2 linked regions of the Nothobranchius furzeri genome follow. The protein of the gene in region 2 purifies or fractionates together with the protein of the main gene of each other region. This does not show direct contact. Links are inferred from orthologs where the notes say so. Each region holds a gene or a part of one and is shown on either strand. Other genes may lie near its edges.

The links.
Region 1: the proteins of tsen2 (region 2) and tsen34 purify together in Homo sapiens (affinity purification with mass spectrometry; 3 studies listed by BioGRID and IntAct, counting the BioPlex papers as one, with this or other methods). This does not show direct contact. The link is inferred for Nothobranchius furzeri from reciprocal best matches to the Homo sapiens genes TSEN2 and TSEN34.

What each region holds. Positions count from the first base shown.
Region 1 is NC_091753.1:55,691,818-55,696,107, forward strand, and holds the start of tsen34 (tRNA-splicing endonuclease subunit Sen34), read right to left. Parts: upstream 2,993-4,290; 5' UTR 2,707-2,992; intron 1,587-2,706; exon of another isoform or gene 1,504-1,586; intron 594-1,503; 5' UTR 585-593; coding exon 336-584; intron 1-335. Other genes in the region: eif2a (eukaryotic translation initiation factor 2A), read right to left, coding at 3,885-3,950, 4,064-4,129. UniProt on the Homo sapiens protein: Constitutes one of the two catalytic subunit of the tRNA-splicing endonuclease complex, a complex responsible for identification and cleavage of the splice sites in pre-tRNA. It cleaves pre-tRNA at the 5'- and 3'-splice sites to release the intron.
Region 2 is NC_091743.1:77,143,417-77,147,234, reverse strand, and holds part of tsen2 (tRNA-splicing endonuclease subunit Sen2), read right to left. Parts: intron 3,495-3,818; coding exon 3,383-3,494; intron 3,303-3,382; coding exon 3,213-3,302; intron 1-3,212.

The sequences.
Region 1 (4,290 bases), on a different chromosome or scaffold from region 2:
AAATTAATTAGGCCCATCCAGATTTTTCTAGGCCCACCCATTTGCTACGTTCTGGCTCCGCCACTGATCCCACCCACCAGCTGTTGGAACTGCTATAGGTCAGTACCAGTTTACGGCTCTGCAACAAACATTTAAAGTCTAAATTACGTATGATGTCACAGGGGTGTAAACATTCTTACACCCTCCTTCGTGACATTTGACTGAATTATGACGCTTTCTTGAGTCTGCCCGGTATTTTCTGTTACCGTTGGTAGTGTGTGATGTTTCTTGGGATTGTGCCTCACAGGGAGAGGCACTCGTTATCTCACAGCGACAGTAAAGTCATTCATTCAGACCTGGTTCCGTGGAGGAAAGGCCGCAGCGTGGCGCTCCCTCAGCAGTCTCTCCTCCTCTGGCAGCAGCAGCAGTGGTCGACCCAGTTTGAGGTTCTGTCTGGGGGCTCTGGGCAGTGAGCCGAGCAGGGCCCCCACCACACTCTGAGACCTGACGGTCCTCAGGTCCTGAGCACGCCACAGGAGTGGGGTGGAGTCACAAAGACTGAGAGCCACTACAGGGTCGGAGCTCTCCTGGTTCTGGTCCTCCATCAGCAGGATCTGCCAATCAGAACGAAGCCACGTAAACTATCTGATTTCTTTAAACAACACATAATCACCAATAAACTAGGAGTAGGCCAGGATTATCCCACATAATTTCACTAGTATGAGACACTTGGAACAACGGTAGTGAGGAGCTAAAGGCATGCCCATAACTGGAGGGTTGCAGGTTCGCCTCCCGCTCAGTTTATTGCAGTCGTTTTCAATTCAAAAATACTTTATTAATCCCAGAGGGAAATTGATTGCTGTAGTAGCTCAGAATAATAATAATAATCAAGTCATCAAAGAGTTGTTGTATATTACAACGGCTGTTGGCAGGAAGGATCTCCAGTAGCGGTCAGTGTTGCAGCCAAACTGAAGAAGCCTCTGACTGAAGACTCTTCCGTTGTCGGACAGTCTTGTGAAGAGAATGCTCAGGGTTGTCCATCATTTTCTTGATTCTCTGGAGAATCCTTCTTTGCATTATCTCCTCCAGCAGTTCCGAAACTGACGAAACTCTGGCTGAGTCCTTGAAAGGGCTTGGAGTTCCTCCATCTTGTTGGCCAGTGATCTCACATTGCCCATTATGATCGATGGAAGAGATGGTTTGAATTTCCTCTTTCTCTGTCTCCGTTTTGCTCCCGCTCTGCATCCACGCTTCTTGCGTTTTAGCTCATTTGGGATTTTTGGCTTCAGCTGAGGTATTATTTCAGCCTTTCACATGTTAATCAGCTGCTCCCGATTGTAAACCAGCTTGTTGCCGTGGTTACGCATCATAACAAATGCTCAAAAAGTGAAAAAAGCTAAAAAAATAGCAGTAAAAATCCTCCAAGCTTCACAGCACCAGAAACAGAAAAGTAAAGTGTCCAAAAAAATACAGTTTTTCTTGAGAAACTAGAAGAAAAAATACCCAAGAAAAGGCAAAACTTACATATAGTCAACAGAGCTACTCCAACATGCAGCCACCCAGAGCAGCGCCGTTCCGGAAAAACTTTGTACCTAGGGAAGACACCCCCCCACCCCCCACCCCGCTCATGGTGGTTAGAGGAACTGACGGCACCCATGTACGGCAAGCTGGCCTCCGTCAGTGCACCACAGGAAGGTGTTCTGAGAAAACATCCTACCCATAGGCTAATTTTACGGTGTTTTACATGACACTAACCCTAACCCAAAAAATCAAGTATCAACGTCAATAAAAAGTACTAATACTTACTACTGATCTATTTTCCTGCAAATATGACAAAGGAGTAGCATTTCCTTTTTGTGTTGCTCAGGAACAACAGGTAGGACGGTTTACGGGGTAGGAGAAGTTCCCAGAACACCGGCTGCGGCTACAATGTAGCTCATCACCACCAGTGTGTGAATGTGCAGGTAAACAGGCATGTTGTAAAGCACCTTGGGGGGCTGTAGGACCCCAGAAGGAGCTATATAAATAAAGGCCATTTATCACTTTACTTGAATTGTGCCTTTAATTTTCTGTAGGTTGAACAAACGTTTACAGCGATTATTAGAATTAAGATTAAGGTCAGAGTGAGTGACGTCATCAGCTGCTGCTTCAAGGAGGAAATATGAATCTGCACTAAAAACTGAGATTTCACAGGAACAGTAAAAAGTGTCTAAAGTCTGCCTCATTGTGCTGCAGTTAGCATTAATACAGGGTACGGTGGCACATTATCACTAGATATCACAACGATTCCTCTTTACTGTCGGTAAGGAGTGGAGGCAATTTACCAATTATTTCACCATGGTAACTAGAGAGAGAGTAATATGACTCCATTCACAATCTGGTACCAATAATAATAATAATAATAATAATAACATCCTGAGTTTGTTAGTATTTGTTGTAAATAAGAGCCCGGGTGACCAAGACCTCTGACCTGCAGCTAGTTTACTATGTAATCCCACTGATTAAGGTTAGGGTTAGGACTAGTTAGGGTTTGTTGACACAAACTAACTAGCACTTTGGTTCGGTCTGATGGACCCGAGGCTTTCTGTCTCACGCATGCGCAGACTTTGCGGATTTTCTAACCGGTACAGTCTGACCCTGCTCTCAGACAATCCGAGTCCTGGTCTGGTTCTGCTCAGAAACCGAACCTGAACGAACTGGAGAGCAACCTTTTACCAACTACCTTACCAGCAAGTGCCTCCTCCGCGTTTGGCTTTACGACCTGCCGTAAACCGCTTCGCTTTTGTTACAACTTTATTGAACGCGTAAGTTAACAGCACAGGCACACGTTCCTCCCAGCTGATCCACTGTCAGGAAACTGGAATGTTATTTCAGATAGTTCAGATCTGCCTAACTGCTTTAGCAAAACATAATAGTCATGGCATTCATATTTACTAAATAAGCATTAATAACACCTCTAATAAACTCACTACTACTATAGATCCATCTGTAGGTTAGGCAGACATGCGATTTAATAAAAACCAGCTGGTATTTTTAGTACAACCTTGATTATATTTGTTTGAAGGACACAAAATCCTATCACCATCCAACTAATACCAGTTTCTACTATAGCTGTACTCACTCCTGTTCCATGAGGTCAACATACAAGTAGAGGAATTGTTGGTAAAAAATCATTTTCCCAAAGGAAACCTGGCTTTGCTGCTTCCTGGGCCCTGAAGCAGGTTTGGTTGCTGACCTTCTATGGCCTGTTCTAACTACGACCATTAATGTGGTTTTATTGTTCTTCGTGAAGTTTATATGACAGGTTCAGCCATTTGGGTCATCACTGACTGGATGAATAAAAGCACCACAGATATAAGGTGACACGATTCAAGGCAGTAACAATAAACCACCGGATCTAAACTAGTTGTTTAATTATAACCAGTTTGACTCAGCACTCACTCGTACACCCTAACGCATGAGGATCTGAGGACAAATGTGTTCTGGTGCTGCAGCAGAACAGAACTGGACCTGGTCCAAAAGAGAATCTATCGCTCAGTATTTTTTTAGACAAAAAAACAAACAAACAAACAGACGCTAATAAGCAGGGTCAGGCTTTTATTATGAAAGGAACACTGTCAAAACAAAAGTCTTTAGATTTGTAAACCACTGCACTTCCTGTTGCCTACACTTCCCAGAATGCCTCTGGGCGGTGCTGCCACAGGTAGGAACGAAAGCAGGTCTAATCAGTTCACCTTAGCGATTAGCCCCGCCCCTTAGAAACCGCTGCCCTGATGAAGAGCCACCAGACCTTTGGGTCAGCTCAGTCAGACCCTCCCAAGCACATCGCCACTCCTCACTGGGTCGCTGTACAAGAGGGATGCATGATGGGACGAGGGCGTGGCTGAAGGACTGAGTGGCTTCTTCTACTGTCCCACCTGCAGATCCCGCAGCTCCTCCAGGAGCTGCTCCTCCTTCTGGATCTTCTCCAGCTGCAGGAAACACAAGGTTCAGATTCTGGTTCAACAGGGTAACGCATTATCTACGGTTACAGGAGGGCGTGGTTCTAAAGGCAGCTACACTGCTTTTGCAGAACCTTCCAGACCTGGTTCTTCTGCAGAACTTTCCCAGACGCCTGTTGCTCCTTCAGCTCATCGATGGCCTTCAGTTTCTGGAACACACGGATGCATAACTGACTCTCTGGCCAATCACAACGCAGAACACCACCAACATCCTCCAATCACCTCCAGGGACGGTGGCCCTGAAGGACCAGGATTGGCCACGACTGCTGTGTTTGGTTACAGCGGCCTGTCGTACAGACACGAAGACTCC
Region 2 (3,818 bases):
TCTTGTTCACGAGTGAGGGTAGGAGGGATCGGGAGATCGACAGGCGGATTGGTTCGGCGTCTGCAGTGATGCGGACGCTGAGCCGATCTGTCGTGGGGAAGAGGGAGCTGAGCCAGAAAGCCAGGCTCTCGATTTACTGGTCGATCTACGTCCCAATCCTCACCTATGGTCATGAGCTTTGGGTAATGACCGAAAGAACGAGATCGTGGATACAAGCGGCCGAAATGAGTTTCCTCCGTAGGGTGGCCGGGCTCAGCCTTAGAGATAGGGTGAGGAGCTCGGACATTCGGGAGGGACTCGGAGTAGAACCGCTGCTCCTCCGGATCGAAAGGAGCCAGTTGAGGTGGTTTGGGCATCTGGTCAGGATGCCTCCTGGACGCCTCCCTGGGGAGGTGTTTCGGGCATGTCCTGCCGGCAGAAGGCCCCCGGGTCGACCCAGGACACGTTGGAGAAGTTACATCTCCAATCTGGTCCGGGAACGCCTTGGGGTCCTGCCGGAGGAGCTGGTGGACAAGGCCGGGGAGAGGACGGCCTGGAGCTCCCTAGTTGGGATGCTGCCCCCGCGACCCGGACCCGGATAAGCGGAGGAAGACGAGACGACGAGACTGTCGCTGCATGCTTGCTTAGTATGAGGATTGCTGTAAAGACTCTTGACGCTAGTCAGTGACTCGATGCAACCTGCTGGGTTCCTTCTATAGGAAACCTTTTACTGATTGGCTTAATGGCCTGACCTGTATTGGAGTGTTTACTGTGTAAAGGTCCTTGAGACGACTCTGGTCCTGATTTGGCGCTAAAGAAATAAACTGAACTGCACTGAATTGAAACGTTGTAATGACCCCTCCAGCAGACTGTAAGATAGGTGTGTATTTAGTTGACGCTCGTCTTTCAGGTTAAAGTCAGAATCAGTCTCTGTGTTCTGGAAGGTTCTGCAGACTGAAACATGTTGACAGACAGAAGAGAAATAAAAGCTCCAAACTCCCACAGCTTCATCAAGCATCTGCAGCCCGGTGAACTGTCCCTAATAGAGATGTAAGAAAATATTGATAGGGCAATATATCGCAATATTTTTTCTTGTGATATTATATCGATAATCAAAAGCCATGTAGTGAATTTTTGGAAGAATTTACATGCAAGCATTTGTGTATTTTCTTTTCTTTTGATGCAATTCAAACGCCGACCGCTAACTGGCAAAAGTGTGCACTGGGTTTTGTTTCCACCACTGAAATGTGAATCCCTCTTTTATGGTTCAGATACCTCATACTTAACATGTTACCTATCAGTTTGGACTGTTTGTTGAATTTTCCCACAACAAATTCAGTCTAAAAACATTGCTAATAATGTCTGACTGAATGACTGAATACATCGTGATGCATCGTATCATCTCCACTGTATCGTGATATCACCAAAGTTTCACATCCTAGTCCCTAATCAAGTGGGTTGAGCCTGCACTCACCATGGTAATGGACTGTGCTCAGGATTTCTAACTTACAAATACAGTCAGGTCCATAGAAATTGGGACATCGACACAATGCTAACATTTTTGGCTCTATACACCACCACAATGGATTTCAAATGAAACGAACAAGATGTGCTTTAACTGCAGACTATCAGCTTTTATTTGAGGATATTTACATCCAAATCAGGTGAACGGTGTAGGAATTGCAGCAGTTTGCGTATGTGCCTCCCACTTGTTAAGGGACCAAATGTAATGGGACAATTGACTTCTCAGCTGTTCCATGGCTAGGCGTGTGTTATTCCATCATTATCCCAATGACAATGAGCAGATAAAAGGTCCAGAGTTCATTTCAAGTGTGCTATTTGCATTTGGAATCTGTTGCTGTCAACTGTCAAGATGAGATCCAAAGAGCTGTCACTATCAGTGAAGCAAGCCATCATTAGACTGAACAAACAAAAGAAACCTATCAGAGAGATAGCAAAAACATTAGGCATGGCCCAAACAACCGTTTGGAACATTCTCAAAAATAAGGAACGCACCAATGAGCTCAGCAACACCAAAAGACCCGGAAGACCACGGAAAACAGCTGTGGTGGATGACCGAAGAATCCTTTCCCTGGTGAAGAAAACACCCTTCACAACAGCTGGTCAGATCAAGAACACTCTCCAGGAGGTAGGTGTGTCTGTGTCAAAGTCAACAATCAAGAGAAGAGTCCACCAGTGTGAATACAGAGGCTTCACCACAAGATGTAAACCATTGGTGAGCCCCAAAAACAGGAAGGCCAGATTAGAGTTTGCCAAACAACATCTAAAAAACCCTTCACAGTTCTGGAACAACATCCTACGGACAGATGAGACCAAGATCAACTTGTACCAGAGTGATGGGAAGAGAAGAGTATGGAGATGGAAAAGAACTTCTCATGATCTCAAGCATACCACCTCATCAGTGAAGCACGGTGCTGGAAGTGTCATGGCGTGGGCATGTATGGCTGCCAGTGGAACTGGTTCTCTTGTTTTTATTGATGATGTGACTGCTGACAAAAGCATCACAATGAATTCTGAAGTGTTTGGGGCAATATTATCTGCTCATATTCAGCCAAATGCCTCAGAACTCAATGGACGGCACTTCACAGTGCAGATGGACAATGACCAAAAGCATACTGAAAAAGCAACCAAAGAGTTTTTGAAGGGAAAGAAGTGGACTGTTTTGCAATGGCCAAGTCAGTCACCTGACCTGAATCCGATTGAGCATGCATTTCACTTGCTGAAGACAAAACTGAAGGGAACATGCCCCAGGAACAAGCAGGAACTGAAGACTGTTGCAGTAGAGGCCTGGCAGAACATCACCAGGTATGAAACCCAACGTCTGGTGATGTCTATGTGTTCCAGACTTCAGGCTGTAATTGACTGCAAAGGATTTGCAACCAAGTATTGAAATGTATAAGTCTGATTTATGGTTCTTATTCTGTCCCATTACTTTTGGATCCTTAACAAGTGGGAGGCACATATGCAAACTGTTGTAATTCCTACACCGTTCACCTGATTTGGATGTAAATACCCTCAAATAAAAGCTGACAGTCTGCAGTTAAATCACATCTTGTTCGTTTCATTTGATATCCATTGTGGTGGTGTATAGAGCCAAAGATGTTAGCATTGTGTCGATGCCCCAATATCTACGGACCTGACTGTATGTGGCTGTTTTTACGGACGGGGGTGTGCAGTTAGTGCTGATATGTGACACACTGACAGGTTACTACCTGAACCTTCAACCTGCTCAGGCACACAGGTGAGTCCAGCTCTGCCTCCAATAGGTCAGCGGGGTATATGACGTAACACAACATCAGCTCCTGACGAACACACACAGATTAGCATCAGTAGAGTCAGAATAATGGCCATGTATGACGGCACAAACCTGGCAGGACATTACCTTGGAGACGTTTGCTGTGATCCTGCTGAGAGCGGCCAGAGAACGCCATGAAAACGGACGCAGAGCCATGCCCCTGAATGTTTCATCTGTCCTTTCAACTACCACGGAATAACTACAGGAAGAGAACAGGGACAATCTGAGGGACACGGAGGACACCAGAATATTGGGAGCAGTTAAGTGTAAGAAATGAAGATATGGGTCCTGTAAATAGAGGAAATATGTTTAGTCACTGAGGAGGAGTTAGGAAGCTCGTAGGACCCCAGTTCAGACCGTAACTGGACAGGGACGAGTCATAGGAACAGGTTCATCATCTACCAGGACATGGATCACTCGGTTCCAGCAACAGAGAACAAATAAAAATGTATTGGAAAAAAAATCTATTCACTTATGAGAGATGGTAAAATTATCTCCGTCAATCATACGAGTGTAGATCTGC